Diceros bicornis minor: one gene and its partners. The protein of the gene in region 4 interacts with the protein of the main gene of each other region in a pairwise test. Links are inferred from orthologs where the notes say so. Each region holds a gene or a part of one and is shown on either strand. Other genes may lie near its edges.

Region 1 (7,013 bases), on a different chromosome or scaffold from region 4:
CTTTTGTGTGACAGGCATAATGTCTTTGTCCTGTAAGGGGGGCTCCAGAGGCTATAGATGTATATAGGAGATTGGGAGACTAAAAAACAGTTTTATTGAGGTATAATTGATATACCATAAACTGTACATATTTAATGTCTACAATTTGATGAATTTGGATATATGCTTATACCCATGAAACCATCACCACAATATCAAGGTAATAAATATATCCATCACCCCCAGAAGTTTCCTTGTGTCCTTTTGTGTATATGTTGTGTGTGTGCTAAGAACACTTAACATGGGATCTACCCTCAACAAATTTTTTAATGCATAGTACAGTATTGTTGACTATAGGGAGATGTTTTGGAAGTAAAATCATTTGGACTTCAGGAAGAGAGACAGTATACAAGTAACTGAAGTCTAGGTGACATTGACCCATTGGTTGAGAAGCTGAAGAAGCAAATTTTGGGGGGATGATAATTTTAGTTTAGATGGTTTGAGGCACCTGTAGATACCCAAGTGGAGGTGTCCAATAGGCCATTGGATTAGTGGAGTTGGAGCTCAGGAGAAACTAGACTAGAAATCGAATTTAGTAGTTGAGCTCCTCTTTCAACAATGGTGGACTAAATAATTTGTCCAATCCTCAAGCTGAAGACATCTAAAAATGTTGGATGAAATACTTTAAAAAATCAAAGAACTAATAAGACTGAGAAATTATTGGTGTGAGAGCATGAAAGGACAGGAAAGCAGAGAGATGAGACAGCAGTAGGACTGCTTTTACCCTGGGGTCATTTGCTGATCCGAATTGGTGGCAGAAAATAGGCTGTGTGGTGCAAATGAGACAAAAATTGGAATCCAAACTTCCCCAAAGATGAGAACCTGGTTTGGGCCGGCCCCGTGGCTTAGCGGTTGGGCGCGCGTGCTCCGCTACTGGTGGTCCGGGTATGGTCTGGGCGCGCACCGAAGCACTGCTTCTCGGGCCATGCTGAGGCCACATTCCACATACAGCAACTAGAAGGATGTGCAACTATGACATACAACTAACTACTGGGGCTTTGGGGAAGAAAAAAAGGAGGAAGATTGGCAATAGATGTTAGCTCAGAGCTGGTCTTCCTCAGCAAAAAGAGGAGGATTAGCATGGATGTAAGCTCAGGGCTGATCTCCCTCACCAAAAAAAAAAAAAAAAAGATGAAAACCTGGTAAACTGCCTTCCTGTTTTTCATTAGAATCCTGAAAGGCTGCACTCCTAGAAACCTAGGAGTAGGGTAAATCAGAAGTAAATAGAACATGAGGACCCAAAACATTCAAAACCAAAATTAAGAACCAATCGATGGGTTTAACAGCAAGTTAGACTTGACTTAGGAGCAAGTAATGAATTGGAAGAAAGGACAGAAGACACTACCCAGAATGAAACATGAATAAAAAGGAGTGAAAAACATAAAAGAGAGGGTTAGGGTCATGGAGGATACTGTGAGAAAGTCTGACACACATTTATTTAGAGCCCAGGAAGGAGGAAAATAAAAGACTAGAAGCAATATTTGAAGAGACAATAACTGAGAAACTTTAAAAATAGATGAAATACATCAAGCCACAGATTCAGGAAGTTCAACAAACCAAGTAAGATTTTAAAAAAAATCCATATCTGGACCCATCAGAGTGAAATCACAGGAAATTAAATCAAAGATGAAATCTTTAAAATAGTAAAAAGAGGATTGATTACCTTCAAAGGAGCAACCATTAGATTGCTAGAGAACTTTTTTTTTCAGAGCAAAAATGGAAGCCATAGAAAGTGAAATAATATTGTAAACGTGCTGAAAGAGAATAACTTCCAATCTAGAATTCCATATCTGGAGAAAATGTCCTTCAAAAACAAAGGTGAAATAAAGAGGTATTCAGACAAACTGAAATGGAGAAAGTTAGCCACCAGCAGAGGGGCACGAATTCTCAAGCAGAAGGAATATTATTCCAGATGAATGGTTGGACGTGCAGGAAGAAATAAAGAACATTAAAAATTGTGAATGTAGGGGGCCCGCCCCGTGGGGTAGTGGTTAAGTGTGCGCACTCTGCTGCTGGCGGCTGGGTTTGGATCCCTGGTGCGCAGGGATGCACGCTTGTCGAGCCATGCTGTGGAGGCGTCCCATATAAAGTAGAGGAAGAAGGGCCGGATGTTAGCTCAGGGCTGGTCTTCCTCAGCAAAAAGAGCAGGATTGGCATGGATGTTAGCTCAGGGCTGATCTTCCTCACACACACACACACACACACACACACACAGATTGTAAATCTAAATGACCACTAATTTAGGTAATAAGCATTAATGTCTTGTGAGATTGAAAGTATTTACAGAATTTAAATTCTGTACACGTATACAGCTACGCCTACCCAAGAGAAATGAGTGCATCTCACCACAAGAATCTTGTACAAAACTGTTCCTAGCAGGTTTATTCATAATGGCACCAAACTGGAAACAACCCAAATGTTTTCTGTGTGTCTCAGCCAGTTGGAGGTCCTGAGTTCATCAACAGGAGAATGGATAAACAAACTGTGGTATATTTATGCAATAGAATGCTACTCATAAATAAAAAGGAACAAATTGCTGATGAATGCAAGAACATGTGAGAATCTTGAAACGTGTCAAGCAAAAGAAGCTAGATAAAAAAGAGTACATACAGTGTGAGTCCATTTGTGTGACATTCAAGAACAGACAAAACTAATCTATGATAATGGAAACTAGAATAGTGATTGCCTTGGGGGCAGGGCAAAGGGGTATGAGCTAAGTTTCTGAGGTGATAAAAATGTTCTTTATCTTAATCTGGGTGGTGGTTACACGGACAGAATACATTACTCAAAATTTATGGAGCTGTAGACTTAAAATCTGTGCATTTTGCTGTAGTAAATTATACATCAATAAAACACTTAAAAGAATTACACAACAGCAATAGTATATAATTCTGGAGGGAGTGACGGTGGTAAATGGAATTAAATTATTTCTGCATTTTCACCAGGAGGGTAAAAATGTTACCAAAAATTAGATTTTGCTAAGTCAAGGACGCATGTTGTAATTTTTAGAGTAACCTCTAGAAGAGTAGAAAAAGTGCGTAACTTCCAATTAACAGAGGCAGGGAAGGAATAATAAATATTAACCAATGCAAAAGAAGGCTAGAAGGAGAAGAAGGATTACAGAAGAAACGAAAAGCACATAGTAATATGATTGATTTAAATGCAAATACAGTATATCCGTATACGTGGCTGGTGAAACCTCATATAAGGGTAAAATACGCCAGAGAGTTTGTGGAGTGAGGAAAGAAGAGAAATTGGGGGGAAATCAGGCAATAATGGGTGGGCCGCGTCCTTCTTTCCTTGCCACTTCTTTTGCTCTCGTTTTCTGAGCTCTCTTTCTAAAGGCTGCCTCGGTTTCCCTTCTAGTCCGTCGCCATCAGTGTTTTCCCCCTCTGATTCCATCAATATACTTCCTCCTTTTCTCAAATCCGCTTCTCCTGCCTCGAGTTTCTAGCCTTCTGTGAACTACACCCAGACGTAGTGTTTATTGTTGTTTAAAGTCTCTTCCTATTCCCCTATTTCACATGCTGATGGCAAAAACAGCTTCTAAACGCTGCATTTTTGACGCAGGAAAAAGTAAAAGGAGGGCAGTTACCTTTACTGAGAAAATTTAAGTTGAGAAGAAAAAGCACACGCCTGTAGCAGAGGATGGTTTCGATCCATCGACCTCTGGGTTATGGGCCCAGCACGCTTCCGCTGCGCCACTCTGCTAGCTGGAGAGAAGGTGCCTCATGGTTTCTATAGAAAGTTTTTAGCGCGTTAGCCGTCCTGCCTTCTTTACACAGCGCCGTCTAGTGTCTGGTTGAATAAAAATGCTCATTTTTGTTAAGTCTGTTCTTATTGGCTAGATCCTGACACAGTCAGCATTTTGTATTGGTTCATAAGCCAGTTTGCCATTGTAGACCAATAGGCATAAGCGGCGGGGTAAGGCGGGAGCCAATCGCGCCGGAGTTTGTTGGGACACGCCGGCAAGCCGCCTCTCCATTTATCTCTTCCTCCGAGGAAAGGGGCGGTTGGTGTGGCCTCCATTGTTCGGGTTTTAGGGCGCCATGAGGTAAAGGCACTGGGGTGCTGTAGAATGGTGTCGGGTATTCGACCGAAAACTTTGGGAAGGTGGGCCGAAAGGAGTCGGAGGAGCTGAAAGGGCCACGTGTCTGGGGGCTGCCCTAACACCGAAAAGGCCTCGTCTGGGAGAGTAGGGGAGGTCGGAGGCTGCGGGGGCGGGGAAACTTGGGCCCGGGCTGGGGGTGGGGCGCAGGAGCGGGCAGGCGGTCGGCCCCTCGGTTTTGGAGGGGTCTGGATGAGGGGTGTCCTCGGGTCCCAGGAGAAGCACCCCCATCTAGGCTGGGAAGTCTGGAACGTGCCTCATTCATTCTATGCCAAGTGCTTGACATAGGAAATGCCCGCTAAATGTTTTACTACGTTAATAATAAATGAGCACTCACTTTAGTGCCTCAGGTATTAGGATTGGCGTCTTCCAGGGGTCATGGGGTATTTCTTGTAGGGGTTCAGTGTTTGAGCCCGTCATTATGTTTGGGTGGAGTTGTGACTAAATTATCCAGAATGAGGAGGTCCTGGGGGTGAGGCTGAGCATTTGGAATGGGGAGAAGCGTAGGTGGGAATGGGGTCTCTTGGCTTCCAAAGGGAAGTTCGGAGCGGTGGAGGCAGGCTAACTTGAAGTGATTTGACCGGTATGGTGGAGATGCCTTCAACAGGTCAAAACAGGTTAAAATCTATTTATGCATTTCTAGGGGTGACAGAGGCCGAGGTCGTGGTGGTCGCTTTGGTTCCAGAGGCGGCCCAGGAGGAGGGTGAGTGTCAGTTTTTAGCATCTCTGCACTGCTTAATTTACACTTCAGTCATCTAAATAGGAGTTTGGAGTGGACTGATGCTACCTGCTTTTGTGAGATCCAGCTGTGGTTTAGAAACGTTTCTTTTCATCCTCTCCTGCTAAATGAGTTTGGCCCCATTAGGCTAAGTCACTTGATTTCTGTGGTGAATAATTTGGATTTTTCTTGTTTTAGGTTCAGGCCCTTTGTGCCACATATCCCATTTGATTTCTATTTGGTGAGTATCTTGGCCCCTGTTCACCTATAGACATAGAAATGGAGCCTGGACACTGTTTCACTTGTAGTTTCCTGGAGCCCAGCATCTCCCTGTCAATGAAGTCTTGAATAGTGGCTGGAGTAGGAAAAGGGATTAGTGAGTGGAGCTGGGGTTTTGAGTCAGCTGTGTGTTGCTTTAAGTACAAACACAGTGTAAGGAGGGTGGGGAAGATAATTCCTTGGCTACTGTTGGCAGTAAGGTGATTGTAATCTTTGTTCTGAATAATTAATTGTATCTCTGGCTTATCTGTTAATATAAAGGTAGTGAGAGCTTAAATTATGGCTGTTCCTTGTAGCTTACATCCTTGTTTGAACATCTTGAGTAGACAGGTGTTGTAGAATTTTCTATTTTCAGTTTTTTCTGTTGCGGCAACCGAAAAAAACAATCTTCCCTGTATATTATTTTTGGTAAATAGTATATAATTATTTACTTCTGATTTAGTGTGAAATGGCCTTCCCCCGGGTCAAGCCAGCGCCTGATGAAACTTCCTTCAGCGAAGCCTTGCTGAAGAGGAATCAGGACCTTGCTCCTAATTCTGCTGAACAGGTATATTCTTTTGGCTTCCTTCCTGAGATTTCACTAAGAATGCTAGGGAAGGGGCCAGCATGGTGGTGTAGTGGTTAGGTTTGTGTGCTCCACTTCAGTGGCCCAGGGTTTGCAGGTTTGGATCCCCGGCCCTGACCTATGCACCACTTATCAAGCCATGCTATGGCAGGCGTCCTACATATAAAGTAGAGGAGGATGGATGCTGATCTTAGCCCAGGGCTGATCTTCCTCAGCAAAAAGAGGAGGAGTGGCAACAGATGTTAGCTCAGGGCTAATCATCTTCCTCACCAAAAAAAAAGAAAGAAAGCTAGAGAAGTGAATAACTGCTGGTGAGGTTAAGGTTACTGTTATCAGAGCCTAAACTCCACGGTGGGTTGAATTGTTCTTATTTCTCATTGTGAGTGGAGGGAGACTGCCAGATGAATATATAAACAGGTTACATATGCATTCATATTTTTATTGAGGAATCTATCTTTGGGATCAAAAACTTGTTCTTTTATGACATATTCAAGGCCAGAAGGGTCAGAGTGTTTTCAAAGCCCTATATCAGTATTGATTCCACTTGTATGGAAGGGATTAGGGGAAAATATTCAAATTCTGAGAAGTTGCTCGTAATTTTTCAACTTAGGTTATTTTTGTTTCCTGCTGTTTTTCAGGCTTCTATCCTTTCTTTGGTGACAAAAATAAACAATGTGATTGATAATTTGATTGTGGCTCCAGGGACATTTGAAGTGGTGAGTTTTTGATGATTTATTTAGTCCTAGGAAAGGGCAGCCTTGCTAGTGTGGAAGTTTCCTTGGCTCCTGTCTCTTAATTCTTTGGTTGCCTATTATCCAAAGCCAAGCCGAAAATGGGAAACTACACTGGAATTCCTTTATAGTACTGATTATGGGGACAAGACTTATATCGTTGTTATCAGCTAGCCGTGATGTATCAGGCTTTTCGTTTGGTTGTTTGGGGGATATCACTTGACCTCTGCTACTTCAAATCTGGGTCACAGGAAGCTATGTTGTAATTGAGTTCTGAGAGGCAGTCTTTTCACTTCTAATTTTTTTTCCTGAAATCCCTTTTCCAATAGCAAATTGAAGAAGTCCGACAGGTCGGATCATATAAAAAAGGAACAATGACTACAGGACACAATGTAGCCGACCTAGTGGTAATCCTAAAGATTCTGCCAACATGTGAGTGTACCTCTTTCTGCCCACGGGAGAACATAGCAATTGGGTAGGGATGTTTAAAGCCCAAATTTCTTCTCTTTTGCACCCCAGGGGACATTTGGCAGTGTCTGGAGACATTTTTGGGCTACTGGCATCAAGTGGGTA
Region 2 (7,711 bases), on a different chromosome or scaffold from region 4:
AGCACTCCAGGAGGCCTGCCCTGGCTGGATAAGACTGGTGGGGGCTGATGTGGGGTTTGAAGGCAGCCGGTGCAGGAGTGCTATTTATTGCATATTTATTGTTCAGATGTTACCATCAGAGAGGAGGGGAAGGGTGACAAGGGAAGGGGTCTGGCCCAGCCCACTTGCAGGAAGACCTGGCTTAGGCTACTGTGGGCAGGGACCCCCACCAAGCCCAGCCAAAGGGAGCCAGCCAGCTGAGGCCTGACTTTTTTCAATAAAACATTGTGCACTTCTGGGCCTCCTGCTGCCCCGGCTCTATTTCTCCTGGCACCAAGTGAAGAAGGCGGAACTGAACCCCGACCCAGAGCCAGCTCCCTGAGGCTGTGCCCCTTTCCGGCAATCTCTGGCCACCCCCATTGGCCAGGCTGCCCCTCCCACGAGCCCTGGGGCCCCTCCCACCCTCACTCCAGATGAAGCCAGCCCAGGACTGCTTCATTGGGCAGTAGGCACTAGGGCTGGAATGGGGCCGCCCGGCTCCCCATGGCAGTGGGTGCTGCTGCTGTTGGGGCTGCTGCTCCCTCCTGCCACCCCCTTCTGGCTCCTCAATGTGCTCTTCCCCCCGCACACTACGCCCAAGGCTGAGCTCAGTAACCACACACGGCCCGTCATCCTCGGTAAGCCCCCGCTAGGCCCCTGATGCACCAGGCCAGACCTTGGGGAGCCTGGGCCCCAGTCCCTGATAGCAGACCCTGCCAAGGCCTTTCTGCCCCTGCATTAGCCCTGATACCTGCCTCAGTGGTTGGAGGGGCCAAAGGTTTGTGCTGCAGAGAAATCAACCCTTTCCCCCACCACACTTCCTGTGTCTCTGAGTTGTCTAGCCCAGGCGGGTGGAGTGGGGGCTGGGCGTGCCTGAGGGCTTGGCCAGGACATTACAAGCTGTGGTGAGCTACAGCCACTGGACCTTGGGCCAAGCCCACCACTCCTTTCTCAGCCCCAACCCCAGCAAGGACAGGATGACCAGCCCAGGAGAGCAAGGGAAGCCTATCAAGGCCTGCCCCCTACTCCTAGGCCCAGCTCCCATTCCCCCATACCTATTTGTTCTCACCTTGGACTTTGGCAGTAATGGAGAACCATGCTAGGTGTTTGCTTTGTGGGGGCAGGGGTCAGTGGCCTTGGCCCCTGCACCCTTCCTGCCTGAGGGGAGCCTGGGCTTTGGGCTGCTGGGGGGATGGGGTGGGGGTATGATCAGAAAGAGAGGATCGTATCTTTAGTCCCTGGGGATTAAGGGTGTGGAAGATGAAGGGGCAAGGCTGGTCACTACAGTGGGGGATGAGACTGGGGTGGAAATCTGAGGAATCCAGAGTGAAGGCTAGTGCCTGCAGTGCCTGGCTGCCTGGGGAATCAGCTGGAAGCCAAGCTGGATAAACCTGATGTGGTGAACTGGATGTGCTACCGCAAGACAGAGGACTTCTTCACCGTCTGGCTGGATCTCAATATGTTCCTACCCCTTGGGGTAGACTGCTGGATCGATAACACCAGGTAAGTGCCATCCCCTCTGCCCCAGCCCCTACACCCTGCCCCCTTGCTGCTGGCCTGCTGACTGTCCCACTGCCCCCAGGGTTGTCTACAACCGCAGCTCTGGGCGTGTGTCCAACGCCCCCGGTGTACAGATCCGTGTCCCTGGCTTTGGCAAGACCTACTCTGTTGAGTACCTGGACGACAACAAGCTGGCAGGTGTGTGTATTGGGGAAAAGAGTGGGACTCTAGGCTGTAGTGGGCCCACAGGAGCCGTGGTCAGAGCCCCCAATGCTGTTGCCTCCCCCACAGGTTACATGCACACACTGGTGCAGAATCTGGTCAACAATGGGTATGCGCGGGACGAGACAGTGCGGGCCGCCCCCTATGACTGGCGGCTGGAACCCAGTGAGTATCTCTGCGGATGATGAGCTCGGGGTGGGGCAGGTGGCCCCTAACTCCAGCTGCCCTGATCCCCCTCCACCCACCCCACCCGCAGGCCAGCAAGAGGAGTACTTTGGGAAGCTCGCTGGGCTGGTGGAGGAGATGCATGCTACTTACGGAAAGCCTGTCTTCCTCATTGGGCACAGCCTTGGCTGCCTGCACTTGCTCTATTTCTTGCTGCGCCAGCCCCAGTCCTGGAAGGACCGCTTCATCGATGGCTTCATCTCTCTTGGGGCTCCCTGGGGTGGCTCCATCAAGCCCATGCTGGTCTTGGCCTCAGGTGAGAGAGTATCGGTTCACCTGCATCCTGTGGGAGGTTGGGGAGTGGAATGAAGCTGACTATGGACCTGCCTTCACTCCCACTTCTGCTCATAATGCCAGGCTGGGGTTGTTGTCTACCACCCCTGGGGCATGGCCCCCACCCTTAGCCCCCCCACCCCGAGAGCAGTGAGCCTGGCCTGGACCATTAGAACAGCTCCTGCCAGACTCTGTCTTAGTGGTGACAAAGGGGAAGAAAGAGGAAGTGAACCCCAGCCATCTGACTCATTGCCCTAGGTCTGTTCCTTGTGGCCTCCCAGCTTTCAGCTGCCTTCTCCCAGGAGCCCCTTTGCCCAGGGATCTGCCCTACTGAGGACAGATCTTCCAAAGCCAGGGCCAGACCCTAGAAGCCCCTCTTGCCCTTCCCTGAGGAGTGGCACAGCCACCACCTGTTGAGCGCCCACTGTATGCTGGGCATAGCCAGACTTGGCCTTCCCCGAGGAGTGGCACAGCCACCACCTGTTGAGCGCCCACTGTATGCTGGGCATAGCCAGACTTGGCCTTCCCCCTAGGAGCTCACGGTCTGGTGAGGGAAACACTCCTTAGACTACATCAATAAATGTCAAACACAGCCACGGTCTCATTTCATCCTTCTCAGAACACAGCTCTGACTCCTGTGCAGCACAGGCCATAGGGGCTGACAGACACTTGCCTGAGGGAGAACTGCCAGCACCATCCCCCCACCATTCACACATACACAGTCATCCCTAGGAAACCCCTCCTTACCCTCTTTTTGAGGCCCTACAGCTCTGCCTCACAGAAGTGCCATCAGAGCTTCTCATTTAATAAGCACACATTAAACACCTACTGAATGCCAGGCCTACTTTAGTATGTGGCTTGGAATCAGTGTTTGGATTGAGCATCCAGCTGAGCTTGGGCTAGGGGGCAAGTGTGGGCAGTGGGTAGCCAGGCCTGGTTCCCTGCCCCACCTTGCTCCATGTCCACAGGTGACAACCAGGGCATCCCTATCATGTCCAGCATCAAGCTGAAAGAGGAGCACCGCATGACAACAACCTCTCCCTGGATGTTTCCCTCCAGCCGGGCATGGCCTGAGGACCATGTGTTCATTTCCACGCCCAGCTTCAACTACACAGGCCGTGACTTCCAGCGCTTCTTTACAGACTTGCACTTTGAGGAAGGCTGGTACATGTGGCTACAGTCACGTGACCTGCTGGCAGGACTCCCAGCACCTGGTGTGGAAGTATACTGTCTGTATGGTGTGGGCCTCCCCACGCCACGCACCTACATCTTTGACCACGGCTTCCCCTACACAGACCCCGTGGGTGTGCTCTATGAGGACGGTGATGACACTGTGGCCACGCGCAGCACTGAGCTTTGTGCCCGCTGGCAGGGCCGCCAGCCACAGCCTGTGCACCTGCTGCCTCTGCACGGGATACAGCACCTCAATATGGTCTTCAGCAACCAGACACTAGAGCACATTAATGCCATCCTGCTGGGTAACTACCGACATAGCACCCCTGCATCCCCAGCTGCCAGCCCAGGGCCCCTGCCCCCTGAATAAAGACCTTCTTTTGCTGCTGTAAGCTCTGACATGTGTGTTGTGGGTTGAGGGGGAGGCACTATGGTCCACACACCAGGGTTTGTTCATCAGCAGCCGCAGGCCTAGTGCTTTGTGGAACATAGGGCAAGATGGGCTTTGCTAAAGCCTGGGATTGAACTGAGCACCCTGTGATGTACAGCTTCCCACTCCCCTGGTTGAGCTGTTTGGGCAGCCTGCCTTGTGCCTGCCTCTGCTCTGGGCGTGGGGACTGGAGGCAGCTGCGCACACAGCTGTGGGATGGGGGCACATGGAGCCAAGCGTGCAGGGCAGGGAACATCTGAGCTGTGCCTCTCAGCTTCCAAAAGGGCAGGTGAGACGCCCCCCCCACTCTAGACAGGGCCTTTTGAGTGAGTGCTAGGTGGGTGACAGAAGCACAAGAGTTTAGAATCTGGGGGAGTGACAGCCACTAATCAGATCATTTCACTAATGAAGGTTTAATTATTAACAGAGCTAACTGGTCTGAGAGAAAAGTTTAAGGAGCAACAAGGGGCTGAGTCTTGTGGGTCAGGGAAGGCTTCTCAGAGGAGGTGGTACCTATGCTGAGATCAGATGGGATGAGAAGGGTAACACGGGCCACCATAAAGACTTGGGTTTGAGCCTGAGAGTAATGTGCAGCTGCTGAAGGGTTTAATCAGGGAAAGAGTGTGACCAGGTTTTCAATCTAGAAAAAGCCCCCTCTCTGCAGGGTAGAGTGTAGCCTGGGGTGGGAGGTGGGGGGCAGGAAGTGGGAAGCTGGGGAGGCTAATGCAGTGTCTAAGGGAGAGGGGATGCTAGCTGAGACTAAAGCAGTAGTTAGGAGAAAGATGTGGATAGATAAAGGGTCATTTGGGAGGTGAAATAAAGCTTGGCCATGCGTAGAGCCCAGCATGCCTCCAGGCTACTAAAGGGACAGCCACTGTGTCCCTCTGGAGAGCAGGAAGACAGCACACCAAGAGAGGGAAGATGGATCAGCGTCACCATGGCCAAGGATTGAGCCTCCGTGTTTGAGGTTTTGGGGAAGAGACAAAGGCAACAAAAGAGAGGCAGGAGTTGGGAGAAGGGGAGTGACAAAAGACAAAAGGTAGCCATACCCGATGCTTTTGGGAGGCCAGTACCAATAACGACAGAGACCTGGCCACTGTGACAGCCTTAGGGCATTGAGACTTGAGGTTAGCGTTCCAGTCAGGGTAGGCAGAGCTAGGGACTCAGATTGGAAGGGGGAGGAGGAGTGGAACAATGGCCAGAAGGAAAGGATTTGACCCTCTGTTCAGAGGACAGGGAAGCAGCAATGGAGAGCCAGGCAAGGGACATCTCCCGCTTCCCAAGCTGCTTAGGACCCAAGGTGAAGGTGAAAGTGAAAGAGAATATGCAGAGAAGGGCCGGTGTGCGCTGAGAGAGGGTGAAAGCGAAAGCGGGAAGCGTCAGACGTGGAACCCAACAGAGGCCAAGACCGTGGCCCTTCTCGCTCCACGCTGGTGCCACTCGTCCGACCATCGACCCCAACCCCCGGACCGCCCTGCCCACCGCAAGATGCTGAAGCCAGCGCTAGAGCCCCGAAGGGGCTTCTCCTTCGAGAACTGCCAGAGGTGAGGGGGGTGAAATGGTTGGTGCCGAGCTGCCAGTGAAGGCTTCCGGGAGTGGAAGCCCCAGGGCCTTTATTCCTGGTGGAGGAGAGGGTAGCGTGTGTTTGGCAACTTGGGTTCCCAGGCTTACCCCGGGAGGTGAGGGAGACGGAGACGGAGTTAGCGGATGTGATGGCGAACCCAGAAGAAGAACCGTAACCTGGGCCACTCCCTTCCGTTTTCAGAAACGCATCCTTGGAACGCGTCCTGCCGCGGCTCCGGGTCCCTCATGCACGCAAAACCGGGACCACCATCGCGGGCCTTGTGTTCCAAGTGAGCAGGGGGTTCGGACAGGAGGGCTTACAGGGGAGGCTGGGGGGATCCGGCGGGCACTGAGCCAGCAGCCCCTCCCCATCCACAGGACGGGGTCATCCTGGGCGCGGATACGCGGGCCACTAACGATTCGGTCGTGGCGGACAAGAACTGCGAGAAAATCCACTTCATCGCTCCCAAAATCTAGTGAGAATTCCCCAGCCGGGTTCCCCGCCGCAAGAACCTCCCCCTCGTTCCCATCCCCGGCCCCCCCACATCCTAGCCCCGCCCACACCAACCCTCCCTTCCCTTTCAGCTGCTGTGGGGCTGGAGTGGCCGCGGACGCCGAGATGACCACGCGGATGGCGGCGTCCAACATGGAGTTACACGCGCTGTCCACGGGCCGCGAGCCCCGTGTGACCACGGTCACTCGCCTTTTGCGCCAGACGCTCTTCCGGTGCTGGGGCGGGATGCTGTCCCAGGGGAGAGGCTGTTGCGGGGAGGGCGGGGCTGCGAGGTCCCGGGAGACCGGAAGAGGCCGGCCTAAGAGGAGCTGGGCAACAGGAAGGAGCGGTGTCAGTCGAGGGCGCCAGACCACAAGAAGGGGTGTGGCTCTGATCCAGGGGCGGTGTCGCGGGGGGCGGGACCGGGAGCCCTGTGCCTGCTGCTGACCACGCCCATTCCGCCGAAAGGTACCAGGGCCACGTGGGCGCGTCGCTGATCGTGGGAGGCGTAGACTTGACAGGACCGCAGCTCTATGGCGTGCACCCCCACGGCTCCTACAGCCGTCTGCCCTTCACGGCCCTCGGTGAGCGTTTTCGCCCTTTCCCCACGAACCCCGCCCCTGTGACTCTGGCCTCACGTTTGTCCCGCGACGGGGCAGCCGCGGCTGACCTCAGATGCCTCTCTTGCCTGCAGGCTCCGGCCAGGACGCGGCCCTGGCGGTTCTGGAGGACCGGTTCCAACCGAACATGACGGTGAGCGACATCTACCCCCTCTACGCGTTCGTTGGTGGGAAGTGCACCTGGGAGCTGGGGGAAGGCAGCGGTACCCTGGCCTAGTCTGGAGGTCGGGGGAGGCGTCTCGGAGGTGACTACTGAGTGGAGACTGAGGGGTCGGTGGAGTGAGGATGGAGAAGTGCTATTCCAACAGACCACGTCAGTGCCACAGCTTGGACTGCCGGGAGAAGTCAAAGCTCGGAGAGGACCCTTTGGGGCTGAGGAGGGAACGGAAGATGGGGTCTGGCGTCTGGATTTTGTTTGGGGTGGGATGGAAGCGAATGACGTATGTTGCTTCAGAGGTACCTAAGGCCCAGAAGGAAAAATGCAGTGAGCCAGTAGATCAGGGACCAAGACTACATTGGGTGGGTGGACAGGCCACTGGAAGCAGAGCCATAAGTGTGACTCAGAGAAGTTTGTGAAGATGGGGCTGTGGGAACATGAGGTCTCTGGAGAGATGGAGGCAGACACCAGGGGAGGGGAGCTTGGGGTTGAGATGGGGGTGTAGGGGGACAGAGGAGTTTAGGTGTGAGCAAATGTAAAGAGTCTGGGCTTCAAGATTAACAAGGTCTCCAGGCTGAAGCTTGAGGGTGATACCAGAGGGGTCCATCAGGCCTCACACACACATCATCATCACAGCTGGAGGCCGCGCAGGAGCTGCTGGTGGAAGCCATCACTGCAGGAATCCTGGGTGACCTGGGCTCTGGGGGCAGTGTGGATGCATGTGTGATCACAAGGACCGGTGCCAAGCTGCTGCGAACACTGAGCTCGCCCACAAAGCCCATAGAGAGGTGGGAACAGAGGAGATGGAGGACCACAGGGGAGGATGGGGTGGTAGCAGGGGAGATAGAAGGCTACAAGAAGAGGATAGACTACATGATGGGCCCATGTTGAGAGGCCATCCCTCCTCCCTCCCAGGCCCAGCCAGTACCGCTTTGCCCCTGGGACCACAGCTGTCCTGTCCCAGACAGTGACGCCGCTGACCCTGGAGCTGCTGGAGGAAACTGTGCAGGCCATGGAGGTGGAGTGAAGTAGGCTGA
Region 3 (6,011 bases), on a different chromosome or scaffold from region 4:
ACATCCCAGGCCACTCCTCAGGCATATCAGCCCTCTCTGACTATAGGAGATGAGGGACTCCTTCCAGGTGCCATCAAGGTGTCCTGATTGCTCACTCACATTTCCCAGCAGACATCGATAACTCCCAGTTCTCCTTTCCCCTCTGCATGTTCCCTGTGGCCATCAGAAGCCAAATGACTCCATGCCATAGTGAAGAAGAGCCACAGCCATTTCATCTCCCATCTCGCCACCCCAACAATGCAGTACCCTACGTGTCATCCCATGCCACCCCCAATGATAATTTGAGTAATGGTGATACCTTTACATGCAGTGGATTACCTGGGTGCATTGCCCCCTCTGCAAAGAGGCTTCCCCTGTACTCCCTGAGTTTATGATCAATCCAATTCCAGTATCCTGTTTGAGGCTGCTCTTGGAACCCATCCCCATATTGGTGAGTATGGGCAGGAAATAGATGACACACTTATATTGGGTAATTTGAGGAGGATTCAATAAAAGGACTATTTACAGAGGTGTGGCAGGGTGAAGGGAAATCCCGAGGGACAATGCGGTACCTGGGACTATTATCAGGCCTGAAGGAGTGAGGGGAGGGAGCAATGGCAGGGCCCCAAAGCCAGAGAGCTGTGTGGAGGGACCCTGCAGCCAGTGGTGATCCTGTAGGGAGGGAAACTGGAAATCAATACCCTGACCCCCTTCCCCTCCTTTCTTCTGCTGGATGCCCCCGTTGGCCAAACCCACAAGCCAGAGGGTGAGGGAGCCTATTGCTGGTGTCTGTAGATGTCAGTGTCCAGGAGGCTGGGTGGGCAAGGGTGGAGAGAGGACCTGGAGGGGCCAACAGAAGAGAGCCAGCAAAACTACCCATCTGACAAGAATATTAATAACTGCCTTTGTGGGCATCATCCACTATCCCATTTGATCTGCTGGACAATCCTGTGAGGCAGGCTCTATCACCGTTCCCGTTCCACAGACAGAAATCTGAAGCACTGATAAGTGAAATAACTCGCTTCAAGTCCCATAGCTCATAAGTGCCAGAGGTGGGATTAGGACCTGGGCTCAGTCTGGCTCCAGAATCAGGCTTGAGCCAGCCCTGCAGGCTGACAAGCTGACCATAAAAGCAGCTCATACACATGTGTGCTGATAAGATCAAATACTTTTCAAAACCAGTATGATGTGTGGGCTGCTTATTTCAGTTGGCACATAACATTGTAACTGCACCAGATACGTGCTATATTATTTATGTAATAAATTATATAATCTATGTATATCATAATTATCATAATGTCTTCTGTGACTTTTTCCCTGGGTAGGCTGTGAGCCGCTTAAGGATGGAGATTTGTATGCCGAGCATTTGCCATTGTGCACAGCTAAGGTGGGCTCTCAGTCAATGCTTGCCTTGAGTTGAATTCGATCTTTTCTCCTTGAGTTTATAACAATAGATTCAGTCAGTCAGTCAGTCAGTCATTTAGTTTACATTTTCTGAGCACCACTAGGTTTCTGAGCTGCTGGTCTAGGCACAGAGGGATATGAATGAGTAGGACTCATGATCTAATCTAAGAGACAACGTGTGGATAGTGAGATGAGCAAGGGACTGTGGGAGCGCAGAAAGAGGATCAGTTAATTCTGATGGCAATGATGGAAGGGATGGGCCCACTGAGGAGAAGCCTTTGAAGGATAAATTGAGTTTCAATAAATGAGGGAGAGGGGAGGGCATTACCTGCTGAGATAGAATTTTAAAAATCACGGATTAAAGATGTCTAATGAGTTATAAATGAGCTTAGAGGTGTTTGGAACCTATCTTTTACACTTAGAGGTTGATACTTGGCCTTGCCACCCCCTGCTGAAATGACCTCTTTGGCTTCCTGGGGTCCTAGCTGATGCAGGGAGGGGCTGTGGACGAGCCTGGACAGGAGACATCTTTGCCCCTGCCTGTGGGCTTATTCACTTTTCCTTCTTCTGCCTCCTTGCCTTCTGCATGCACATCTGTGACAGTGCACAGGCTCAGAATGGCTGCCCACAGGGTGGGGGCCTCTGTGCCTCAAAAGGGGAGGCAGCCTGGGATGGGGAGTCAGGAGGCCCAGGTTGCAACCCTAGCCCTGTTCCTCCCTTTCACGGGCTTGGTTTACTGCTCTGTATATGAGTGTTGGGCTCAACCGTGTTTGAGGTCCCTCCTGACAATCCCTGATTCCTAGGCTCATACTGCCCCTCTTAGGGAGTTGTGCTGAGGATAAAATGAAAGAATGTGAGAGAAGAAAAATGATGACGCTGAGACAACTTCCCACTTACCAAACACATACATGTCACTCTCCCTAAATCTGAGAAAATTTGGTCCTTACTGTGCCTAGAAGGACACCCAAGGTTTGTTTTGACCTCATAGGGATGTTTTCATCTTGCCCTTGGCAGGTAGGAAAGAAGGAAATGGCAGAGCAGAACACCAGAGCCCTGAGCTAGGATGTTGGGAGTGGAAGTGGGGCCAGGGCATCTGAGGAAGAAAGTGAACCTGGTGAGTTAGGGGGAATCCTTAGGGCGAGAATTGCCCTATTACACGAGATTGCCCAGGAAACGGATGCAGGCCACAGAGAAGGATGAACTTCCTTCATTCAGTATTCTGTTAAAAACCCCGACTGGTGTACCGCAGTTCAATTCTGGCGCTAACCATCTGGAGTTAGTGCAGACCCCACAAGTTAGAGGGCATGGTCCCCAACAAGACTGCTCTAACTTCAGTTGCCAGCTGCAAGTTCAGAGGGGTTCCCAGGCTGCAGGTACTTCTGACTGACTGGGTACAAATTTGGGGGGTTTCCATGACTCCCTTCAGGCTCAATAATTCACTAGAACAATGCACAGAACTCAGGAAAGTGCTATTCTATGATGACAATTTTATTAGAGAGGACACAAATCAGTAAGACCAGCCAAATGAAGAGGTACATAGGGCAATGCAGAGCTTCTGGGCCCTTTCCTCGTGGAATCAGGGCATGTCACCCCCCCAACACATCAATGTGTTTGCCAACTAGGAAGCCCCACTGTGCTTTGTGTCCAGAGTTTTATTGGGGTTTCGTTACTCAGGAATGGTTGATTAAATCATTGGCTGGAGACTGAACTCAATCTCTAGGCTCCCTCCCTGGACCTCACATGGCTCAAAGCCCCAACCGTCTAATCATATGGTCTGTCTTTCTGGTGTGGCCAGCCCCAGTCCTGAAACTACTCAGGGGCCACCATGAGTTACATCGTTGGCATAAACTATTGGGCTCACCATGAATATCACTCCTAATACTTGGGAAGTTTCAAGGATTTACTGTCTCCCTCCCAGGAACCAGCGACAAAGGCCAGTCAAATTCTTTATGATGTGACATTTAGTGTGGTCAGTTTCCTCCAGATCGGCTTCTCAAGCTCCCTCCCTCCCACTTTTTTTTTTTTTTTTTGTGAGGAAGATCAGCCCTGAGCTAACATCCGATGCCAATCCTCCTCTTTTCTTGCTGAGGAAGATTGGCCCTGAGCTTAACATCCGTGCCCATCTTCCTCTACTTTATATGGGCGCCACCACAGCATGGCTTAACAAGCGGTGCATCGGTGCGCACTTGGGATCCGAACCTGTGAACCCCCGGGACCCCACAGCAGAGCACGCACACTTAACCACTGCACCACCAGGCCGGCCCTGCCTCCAACTTTTTGCTTTGATAAGTTTCAAACCATTTAGATTAACCAGTTCTTGGCAATTTTGCCACCTTTGCTTTCTCTCTCAATCTCTCTCTCTCTCTCTCCTGACACATCACCCCTAAATACTTCAGCATGTATCTCCTACGAACAAGGTCAATCTCCCACATAACCAGAGCACAATGACTGCACTCAAGACATTTAACATTGATGTAACACTATCATCTAATATACATGTCACATTCAAATTTACCCCAGGGGAAAAAGTCCTTTATAGTTGATTTTCCCCTTATCTTGGATCCAATCCAGGATCACAATTTGCATGTTTCGTATCTCCTGTCATCTGACAGAGTTCCTGTCTTTTCTTTTTCTTTCTTTCTTTGTCTTTTATGACACTGACATCTACAAAGTGTCCAGGCCAGTCATTTTGCAGAATGTCTCTCACTTTGGTTTGTCTATTTCCTCAAGATCAGATTCAGAGAGAACATTGTCAGCAGGAATACTACAGAAGAGACGCAGTATTCCTACATCTGTAGTATCCTTCTCAGTGCCTCCCATCAGGAGACACATGATGCCAGTTTGTCCTATTAATAATAATTAAACTTGGATTACCTGATTAAGATCAGGCTAGCTTTTGATAGAAACCTGAGAAATATTGGTACTGATCTTCCAAGCAGTCAGAGGGACTGCAGCACACCTGGCCTGCCTTCATCTCCTTTCATCCCTTTCGGGAACACCAAGAGCAGAGTCTGGATGGCAGGAAATGGGAAGAGTGGCCAGGCCCTGCAGTGGTGTCACTTATTCCCAGTTCTCCTGAGGCCACTGGAGATAGCTCCGCAGCCATTATCTGTCTGGTGCTTCGGAGCCTGGGATGGAGATTATGCCGCCCCCCCCATATGTCCATGCACGTGTCCCTGTACGTGCGCACTTCTGCGTGTGCATGGAAGTAGGTATGTGCGCGGTGCCTATTGTGCAAACGTGGGTCTTTCTGCTTGCATCAGCGTGTCGGCATGCACGTTCCGGTCGGTGTAAGCCTTCAAGTTTCTTCTAAAGCACATTCCACGTTGGAGGCTCTGGGGTGGGCTAAATTGTGTGTGTGTGTGTGTGTGTGTGTGTGTGTGTGAAGCGCTCCTGCGCGGAGCTGGTCCTGGTTCTCAATGCTCCCCACTTTCTGGGCCGGCGTGGTCTGGTCTGCGACCCCCCTTCATTTCCTCTGACGGTGGTTGCTCCCACGCCACCCGGAAGTGTTTGCCTCGCCACAGGCCGTCTGGTTTCGCCGGCAGACATGGAGCGGCAGGGCGGTCCGCGCTGGTCCGGCAGCGCTCCCACGCCCGAGGAGTTGGCCCCGGCCCCCGTGACTCTGGCGCAGCTCCTGCAGCTGGTCCAGCAGGGCCGGCAGCTCCCGGGCCTCGAGAGGCGCCACATCGCGGCGACCCGTGGCGAGCCCACGGCGTCCCGGCTCCCGCGGAGGCCCAAGCCCTGGGAGGCCGCGGGCTCGGCCGACGCCCCCGCGCCCCCGCCCTAGACCCGAGGCCCCAGGCCCCGCGGACCCTCGGGTACGGGTAGAGGAGCCGCCTGGAGGGGCCCGGCCCCGGGGAGGCAGCGACCACTCCTTCCTAAATGACACGCAGTGGGTTCCTGAAGCTCGAGGTCCTTTGAGCCGAGATCTGGAGAGCGTGACGGCGTCCTGTATAAACTCGGACCCTGGATACTGGCCACTCTGTTCCTCATCTTTTGTGCATTCGCCCTGACCTGTCTCAACTGGACTTAAGCCTCCTGGGAGCATCATTGGGGTTGTTTTGTATCCGTATTTCTTAACCATGATCTTCATTAAATTTTTTTTTTTTTTAAATCCTGTTTCAGTCCTTATTTGTAATTGAAACAAATGTCATACTTACTTGACTATCTGCGATGCATAAATATGTTTTCACTTTAAAAATGCTCCTTGGGATACACTAAAGGGGTCTGACCCACTGGGAAGTTTCTTAGGAATGTACAAGAACATCAGTATTTATCTCCTGATTCAGTTTATTCTGGTGGCTATGGAACTGAATACGGGATCCATTTTAGACGGCCATTCTCCAGACAGGCAGTTAGTAACAGGTTTGATGATAAAACTTGGCCCCAGAATGACTTCAAAGATACATTAAATGAACGAAATTTCAAGCATTAAAAAAAAAATCCCAACAAACAACACAAACCTTAGAACCCTTGGCTCTGGGAACCAGCCAGGTCAGGCAAGGGGCTATGGGCTTAGAGCAGAGGAAAAGCTCCCACGACCACCTTCTGCAGTCAGTCTCTTGCAAGAGGCCATGTGGCTCACTGCACCTATTCTTGCTTCCTGAAACTAGGTTATTTTCCCTACA
Region 4 (7,915 bases):
ACTAGGAGGCAAAGCACGTGATTTGGTTCCTGGCTGTAAAAGAAAACATTAAAAGGGCAGAAGTTGCTCCATTTTTAAAAGTTGAAACTTGAAGGAAAAACACTTTTTTAGGCTAATATGTATCTAATGGCGTTTATATAATATATATCTGAGAAAATTACCAATGACTTTTTAAAGCTGAATTCTACTCTTACCAGCAAATGATGATATTTGCATTTTGAGAAAGGATGTCTGACTGTCCCTTAATCACTCTTGACAGTATAGTATTTCCAGAAACCTGCACACTGGGAAGGGGAAGTAAATAATAGTAGGGAGGAGAGAAAAGTCATTCTGGCATTCTAGATGAAAAATTAAAGAAGCAAGTTAACACGTTAACCCTGAATCTGTAGTTGATGTACAAAGTAAAGACTGTGGGTCAGCAAGAAAAGGTTAAAATACATTCATTAATATTAATAAGAAAGAAGAAGTGCATTTCAGAAAGATTACAATGGTTGAAGTTTTATTGCTTAAAGGAGTAAATCTCAGTTATCTGGAAAATTAACTTTTGTGGAATACCTCTTTGCTTCTTAAAGGAAATGCTAATGCATTATATTGAGGTTATTATTGCAACAGAATTTTCTAAAATTTGTGAAGGTACTCCAGTCTGTTTCTGGAATCTATTCCAGGTATAGCATGTACTCACATGATTTTAGAATCCAGAGAAATATGGAGCAAAGGAGCAAACAGTTGGTTAGCTGGGACATTGGGTACAACAAAGAGATTAGCAAAGAAGAAAAGCTATGCAAATAAAATGCTTATAGATGACTAGTCTCATATTTCTTTGTTATTCGTATAAGTGCATCTCATGATGTATATAATCAGAGTCCTAGTTATTTAATCTTCTCCTTTCCTGTCCAATGCTTCTTTCAGGACCATGGTTTGTTGGTGAAATCATTAAGGGCAAATTGGGTTGCTGCTTTTCCTTTGGGATCTTTGTTGATGGACATTTCCTACAAGGCAGCATAACATTTATAGTTGGAGTTCTTCAGGTAAGAAGTCAGAAATGCAATTTAAGAACATCTTGGCCTTGTTGGACTAATTGCGTAACAGTTACAAATTAAATCCAAAATCCCAAATTAAACACCATAGATCATGTTTCCTAATTTACTGGCAGGGCAATCTTTAATATCTGGTGTTTTGTTTGCTTTTAGAGTGCTTCCTAAGCTCTTTCTTCCACTACTGTCTTGTAAATATCTAAAATACATTTTTGGCAAGCAGAGTTTATAAGAGGTGAAAGAGGTTTTTGTTTTTGTTGTTTGTTTCACTGTGCTTTTGCATTGACAAAAACTGAAATAAAGGACTTATGGTAGAATAAATGATAGACTTCTGAGTAAACCAAAATTGATTATGATAATGAAGAAGGAAAATGTTTCAGAGGGAGGAAAGGAAAAACAGACGCACAAGAAAAGCGGGTCAGTTACCCACTGGAAGCTACACTGGGCAAAAACCAGACTTGGCTTTCTAGTGATGTCTTAGCAGTACACTTGTTTGGGAAACACTCATACATTAGATTTACACTTGGATTAAGATTCCTTTAGGGGCTGGCCCCGTGGCATAGTGGTTGAGTTCGGTGCGTTCCACTTTGGTGGCCCAGGTTCTCTGGTTCGGATCCCGGCACGGACCTACACCACTCATCAGCCATGCTGTGGCAGCAACCCACATATAAAGTAGAGGAAGACTGGCACAGATGTTAGTTCATGGCTAATCTTCCTCAAGAAAAAAACTGAGGAGGATTGGCAACAGATGTTAGCTTAGGGCTAATCTTCCTCAGCAAAAAAAAAAAAAAAAAAAAACCCCACAAAGATTCCAACACAAAAAACTCTGACCTGTAGCAAATCTCTATAAATAGGTCTGAAAACTATTTACCTAACAATTTATTTTACTCACCTAATGGGGCTAATGGACCAAAATCTGAAGTGATGATCTGATGTTTTGGAAGAGATCCAAAAACATTGTTCAGAATGAGTTCACAGCCTTGTAATAGGATAGTGAAACATGATCAGCAGGATTAGGGAAGACCTCTGCCCAGCAAACACTGACTACAAGCCAGAACATTCTCTGTACAGCAGCTGTACAACATTCTCTGTACACATTGTATATGTGAGTAGGTCCCGGGTCCAGTTCAGTTTTCCATTATGTAGATGGAGGCTGGCCCTCCATCTGTGTGTGGAGCACTCTTATACCAAGTAAAACCTGATCCTTACCGAAAGGTGGGTATATATTTATATTTTAATAAAAGTACACTAATAACGGATTTTATGTGTCATGTAGGCCCATGACTCCCAAATCTACATCTCTGACCTAGACCTCTTCTTGGCACTTCAAGTGCTTATATATCCAACTGCCATTTCACATCTTCCCTTAGATATCTAAAAGCCATCTCAACTTAATATTACATCTCTAATAAGACCTTTAATTTCTACCCCCAAACCTGTGTTCCTCCCCAAATTCTTTCCAATTTCAATAAATGGCTCCACCATTCACTTAGTTTCTCCAGGATGTATCCTCAATTCTTCCCCTTACCTCATACCCTGTATCTAGTTCATCAGCAAGTAGTACCTTGTTTGAGCTACCTCCAATACATATCTTGAATCCACCCTTCTCTCCATCTCTGTTACGCCATCCTAGTCTAAGTCATAATTATTTCTTGCCTGGGCTACTGCACTAACCCCCTAACTGGTCTTCCCACTGCTGCTCTTGCCTCTCTACTATCAGTTCACCACAGAGCATCCACTGTGGTCCTTTTAAAACCTTAATCAGCTCACTTCTCAGCTTAAAACCCTTTAACCAGAGCAGTGACATGATCTGGGTCCTGCTGACTGCCCCCCTTTCCACCTGGCTCATCTTGTGCCAGGCCTATTGGCCTTAAATAGGCCAAGACTGCTTTTCATTGTTTCTTCTGCCTGAAATGTCCTTCCTTTCACTGACTCATTCCTGTCCTTCAGGCTTCAGAGATGGAAGGCTTCAGTCCTTCCATCTCCCAATTACCCTCTCATAACTCAGTTATTTCTTTTATTGAATTTATCACAATCTGTAATTATCTTTTTTTTTTGGTTTCTCTTCTCCCTGTTAGAATGTAACCTCTATGATGCATCTTTTCGGACTTGTTCACCAGTATGTTCCTAGTCTAGAGCTAGCACAGTGCCTGACACATAATGAGTGCTCAATAATTATCTGGTGAATGAATGAATGAATGAATCATACAGCAGCTAACCTTATTATAACTTAAATCTTTTAATTTGTATTCTAGTATTCATCAGGCTACTTCAAATAAAAATACAGATAAAAAAATATTGACACCCAAGTTCCTCCCTCACTGTGCCAAAAAAAAAACCCCAAGTATATATATTGACCTGCACATATTCAATTCATTTCTACCTTAAACATTATTGAGGGCTTCAACATAAATGAAATGATACCTGCCTTTAAGATGAACAGAAGGATACAGGCAAATATACAGCTAACTACAAGTCAACTGTTGTGTTATATGCAAATGTGATTGAAGCTTAAAGAATCAGAGAGTTAACCCCCAAGAGAGAAAGCAACATATTCTTAGGAGCCACCAATAATGTGTTAGTGAGACCCCACCCCTCCAGGGGCTTGCTATTAAGCAAATGGTTTGTTCTGCTTCTCTTTCCAGCTGGTGTTTTTTAACATCCCCTTGATGGCTTACCTGTGTTGGAGCTTGCTGCAGCGGTGCTTTGGTCACAACTTCAGGTCTCATCTCCGTCAAGGAAGATACTTGAAAGTCATACTTGTTCACCTGCTAATGGTACTGCTGTACATCTGGCAGATTTATTCCTGCTATGTTCTTCATATGACGTATGGCACTTTAGCTTTTTTATTCTCCCCACTGCGGACCTGGTTGACACTGCTGACACCTGTTTTCATTCGTTGTGTGTGGACACTGAACTCTACTGAGCTTGGAACCTTCATAGTGCAGTTAAAAAGCCACCTGAGCTCCTGAAGGCCATCTCACCACCCGCCTGTCAGTAGCCCAGGCCTCTGCCCCAGCAACAGGTGAAAGGCCAGTATTGGTGGGCTGCTGCTGCTTGGATGGTTGGGAGTTGGGGGGATTACCCACTACTGATTTCTGCAGCATGGACTGCAGAAAAGTGTCTAAATGATGTTGATTCCTTCCTTCCCCAAGAAGGCAAAGGGTTGATTTACATTTGTGAAGAGAAAGCCCTAATCTAGGAGATCCACACGGCAGGGACTGGGTGTATGGGAGTATCTGAGGCCGAGTGTGTTTTTTAAGATTACCTCATGTAAAGTATCTAGCACAGTGTCTGGAACTCAGCAGCCATTACGGGTGCCACTTTAGGGGCGGAGAACCACTGCGAACTTGGGCCCGACCCTGACTACGCTTGAGATATTAGCTCCCAGTCCTCTTTTCCCGCAGGGTTATGGGTTCTCTGCTCCCTTAGTCGGGGGTGTTTTCAACTAATCAAATAAATGAATAACGAATAAGAAGTAACTCAGAGAGGTCCTTGCTTGTGTGGCCCGGCCTCTAGGGCGGAAGGAGGGGTGGCCCGGCCTCTGGGGACGGGGAGGGGGAGTCGTGGCCTGGCCTTTGGGGCGGGAGAAGGCGTGGCCGGGCCTCTGGGGCGCAAGGAGGCGTGGCCGGGCCTCTGAGGGCGGGGGGGGAGGCGTGGCCGGGCCTCTGAGGACGAGGGGAGGCGTGGCCGGGCCTCTGGGGCGGAAGGAGGAGTGGCTCGGCCTCGGGATGGCAGGAGGCGTGGGTGGGCCTCTGGGGCGGAAGAAGGCCTCGCCGGGCCTCTGGGGACCGGAGGGGGTGTGGCCGGGCCTTTGGGGCGGGGCGGGGCGGCGGGGAGGCGGGTTGTTGCCGGAAGCGAATCCCGGTCTGTGACGCCCGGAAGTGGAGCGGCTACCGCAGTGGGACACGGGCAGCTGCCTTGGCTGCTTTTGTCTGCAGGCTCTAGGAGGTCTACTGAGATGGCGGGCGCAGCTGCGCCTGCAGCCGCATTCTCTACCCTGGCTCCGCCTTTGGAGCAGCTCCGGCACTTAGCAAGGGAGCTGCGGTTGCTCCTGCCTGGAGTGCGGGGTGAGCTGACGCAGTTGGGACAGGCGACGGCAGGGGCGCGCTTGGGGTGGGGGAGAGGCCAGGCTGTGGCGGCGGCGGAGGCGGGGGCCCGCGCGGAGGAGGTGGGGGCAGGAGGTGGCTCCGCTTACCCGGCCATTTTTTTTGCCATTACCCGGCCCACACGCCTCGCCCACCAGTCGGTGAAGCCCAGGAGACCACCAAGGAGTTTAATCGGGAGACGTTTTGGAGAAGACTCAGTGAGTGCCTCTCCTGTTCCCATCTGTCATGTCCTCCAGCGTCCCGACCCCTTTCCCTCTCGCTTTCCCCCCGCCGCATCCTCTCTGTGGGGATACCTCACCTTACCGGTACATCCTCGGCATTTCAGGGGTTGATATAAAACATTGATTTTTGGAGGTGTTTTTGAGACTTCTCAGCCGGCAGGGGTGGAGAAGGGAGCGCGTTATCTTCCAAGTCCGTGCAGCAGCTGCAGCATCATCCTTTTAGCGCTAACATATTGACTCCTGTTTCCTCGTCTGTCACCCCTAGATGAGGCCGCTGTGAAAGTGTCAAGGGAAGCCACGACTCTGACCGAAGCCTTTTCTCGACTTCCGTTGCCGTCTCCACAGGTGGGCTTTACCTTCCTGGAATCAATGTGCTGCCGCCTTATTCCTTAGGAATGCTCTCATTTTCTTTCCACCTTTTGCACTTAAGCCAGGGAATTTATTTTTCTCACCTGTCAAATAAGATTTCAGGATTGTTGCGAAGACCAAATTGCCAAGTGCAGTACCTGGCATGGAGTGGGAAAGTCTTCTAAATATTGGTTCAATTTGAAGTTCATCCTGGTCATCTCCTTCCTGATAATTTTTTTAAGCACTTGCTATTTGCTAGGTGTTTTCACATGCATGATCCCCATCTGACAGATGAGTAAGCAGGCTCAGAGGCTCAAGTTAAGGTAAAAAAGCAGTGGAGATGGGATTTAAATTAGAGTCTATCTGATGTCTAGGCTATGCCTTTTCTGTTATGCTACATAATACCCTTTTTGTGTTGTATTATTTCTTATATTTAATCAGTAACATATGTATACAGTGTGAAATTCAAAAGATATCAAAGTTGTGTGCTAAAAAGTTTATATCTCCCCTCCCCAGTTACTTTTGTATTATTCCATATATATTCTATGCTTCTTTTTACACAAATGAAAGGATGCCATAAACACTTTTCTGGACCTTCCTTTCTTAAAAAAATTATCAATCATAGCACATATAAATTGATTCTTAGCAGCACATATAAAGTTGCTCAGGTCTTTCTAATGGCTGCATGGTATTCAATAGAGTGGATATAACCATAATTTATTTAGACAATACTCTAAGTAGACATTTAAGCTGTTGCCAACTTGTAACTATTATAAACAGTGCTGTGGTGAATTACAGTCTTTTTTGTGTGTGTATCTGTAAAAAAAATTCTCAGAAGTGGAATTGCTAGAACAAAGAATGTATGCATTTTTAATAACTGTAACTATAATAACTTTATTATAAAACTAATGAAAGTAAACATGTTGGCTGTGACTAGTTTTTCTAGAGCTAGATGTACTTAATTTGGGAGTAGGGTTATTTTAGAATGACATATTCGTTGCCATATTTGGTTTCCATAGTCAGTAGTTTCCTTCTTTTTCTCAATCTATATATTCAGATGTTTTGAAATGAAAAAAAACTTTTTTGCTGCATCTACAGTGATAAACTCTCTCCCCCTGCATACCTCAGAGATCTGTGATGAGGAAACAAGAGATGAATTGTATGAGAGCACTTTAAAAGCTTTGTGAAAGTCAATATTTATTTCAAAAGGAGTAGTAGTATTACCTTCAATCTGCTGACTCCTTTCTTTCAAATACACTTAGGACTTGCTGCTAAAATTTATAGCTAGTAAGATACCGTGAGGTGGCAGCATAGAACTGTTTTTCTGTACATGCTCAGGACAGTGGTTTCACTCATGGATGAAAAATTAGAATTTGGTTTTATTTGAATTATATATATTTGAATCACAATTGCTTTCTTAGAATCTCAGCATGTTAGTCCTACTGAAGAATGGTTTTGTTTTTTTTTTAATTCCAGTCCATATGGACTGGTATTTTTATAAAATTATGTTTGGATGTTGAAGCAGTGTCAAATTGCCACAAAAGTTTCTGAACGCTCTCATTCACCGTACTTATCCATCCTAGACTGTGATGAACCGTTTATGGACTAGCACCAATCTGTGGACCAATTTTGCATAGCACTGGCTTAGAGTTTAGTAGAGAAGCGAAGACAAGGAAGATAAGAGAAAGCCAGTGACTGCTTAGAAGGAAAATAGTCAGCATTGAGCATTGTAGAGTCCATGCTAATTACCTTTAGGTATACTGTCATGACTAGCTTAATGACGGATACATTCTGAGAAATGCATCCTTAGGCGATTTTGTTGTTGTGCAAACATCATAGGGTGTACTTACACAAACCTAGATGGTATAGCCTACTACACACCTAGGCTTTACAGTACTAATCTTATGGGACCACTGTGGTCCGTCATTGTTGGAAACATTATTATGCAGCATATGACTGTACTGTGATTCTGTTAAGAGAGAGACAGATGGCGAGACAGAGAGATCAGACACCTGGTTAGTGGTCTAAGGTAGGGTTGGCAAACTTCTTCTGTAAAGGGCCAGATAGTAAATATTTTAGGCTTTGCAGGCCAACTGCTTAGCTCTGCCCTTGTGGTGCGAACACAACTACAGACGGTCCCCGACTTACGATGGTTCAACTTAACGATTTTTTGACTTTATGATGGTGCTGTGTGAAAGCAATA

The links.
Region 1: the proteins of CCNDBP1 (region 4) and ILF2 interact in a two-hybrid assay, tested with the Homo sapiens proteins (2 studies listed by BioGRID and IntAct). The two-hybrid records come from large-scale screens. The link is inferred for Diceros bicornis minor from reciprocal best matches to the Homo sapiens genes CCNDBP1 and ILF2.
Region 2: the proteins of CCNDBP1 (region 4) and PSMB10 interact in binary tests that used the Homo sapiens proteins (3 or more experiments, as listed by UniProt). The two-hybrid records come from large-scale screens. The link is inferred for Diceros bicornis minor from reciprocal best matches to the Homo sapiens genes CCNDBP1 and PSMB10.
Region 3: the proteins of CCNDBP1 (region 4) and C14H6orf226 interact in binary tests that used the Homo sapiens proteins (3 or more experiments, as listed by UniProt). The two-hybrid records come from large-scale screens. The link is inferred for Diceros bicornis minor from reciprocal best matches to the Homo sapiens genes CCNDBP1 and PEX39.

Annotation. Positions count from the first base shown.
Region 1 is NC_080743.1:57,899,405-57,906,417, reverse strand, and holds the start of ILF2 (interleukin enhancer-binding factor 2), read left to right. Parts: upstream 1-3,998; 5' UTR 3,999-4,088; coding exon 4,089-4,093; intron 4,094-4,790; coding exon 4,791-4,850; intron 4,851-5,063; coding exon 5,064-5,106; intron 5,107-5,586; coding exon 5,587-5,691; intron 5,692-6,347; coding exon 6,348-6,425; intron 6,426-6,769; coding exon 6,770-6,872; intron 6,873-7,013. UniProt on the Homo sapiens protein: Chromatin-interacting protein that forms a stable heterodimer with interleukin enhancer-binding factor 3/ILF3 and plays a role in several biological processes including transcription, innate immunity or cell growth.
Region 2 is NC_080771.1:19,682,528-19,690,238, reverse strand, and holds the start of PSMB10 (proteasome subunit beta type-10), read left to right. Parts: upstream 1-4,705; 5' UTR 4,706-5,035; coding exon 5,036-5,385; intron 5,386-5,606; coding exon 5,607-5,694; intron 5,695-5,782; coding exon 5,783-5,880; intron 5,881-5,989; coding exon 5,990-6,130; intron 6,131-6,365; coding exon 6,366-6,481; intron 6,482-6,591; coding exon 6,592-6,650; intron 6,651-7,310; coding exon 7,311-7,462; intron 7,463-7,589; coding exon 7,590-7,701; 3' UTR 7,702-7,711. Other genes in the region: LCAT (phosphatidylcholine-sterol acyltransferase), read left to right, coding at 503-656, 1,365-1,521, 1,601-1,905, 1,997-2,221, 3,207-3,781. UniProt on the Homo sapiens protein: The proteasome is a multicatalytic proteinase complex which is characterized by its ability to cleave peptides with Arg, Phe, Tyr, Leu, and Glu adjacent to the leaving group at neutral or slightly basic pH.
Region 3 is NC_080753.1:22,728,981-22,734,991, forward strand, and holds C14H6orf226 (uncharacterized protein C6orf226 homolog), read left to right. Parts: upstream 1-4,771; 5' UTR 4,772-4,930; coding exon 4,931-5,170; 3' UTR 5,171-5,497; downstream 5,498-6,011. UniProt on the Homo sapiens protein: May be a peroxin involved in the PTS2-mediated protein import pathway.
Region 4 is NC_080744.1:40,641,208-40,649,122, forward strand, and holds the start of CCNDBP1 (cyclin-D1-binding protein 1), read left to right. Parts: upstream 1-4,899; 5' UTR 4,900-4,995; coding exon 4,996-5,104; intron 5,105-5,280; coding exon 5,281-5,340; intron 5,341-5,629; coding exon 5,630-5,709; intron 5,710-7,915. Other genes in the region: TMEM62 (transmembrane protein 62), read left to right, coding at 910-1,028, 3,680-4,006. UniProt on the Homo sapiens protein: May negatively regulate cell cycle progression. May act at least in part via inhibition of the cyclin-D1/CDK4 complex, thereby preventing phosphorylation of RB1 and blocking E2F-dependent transcription.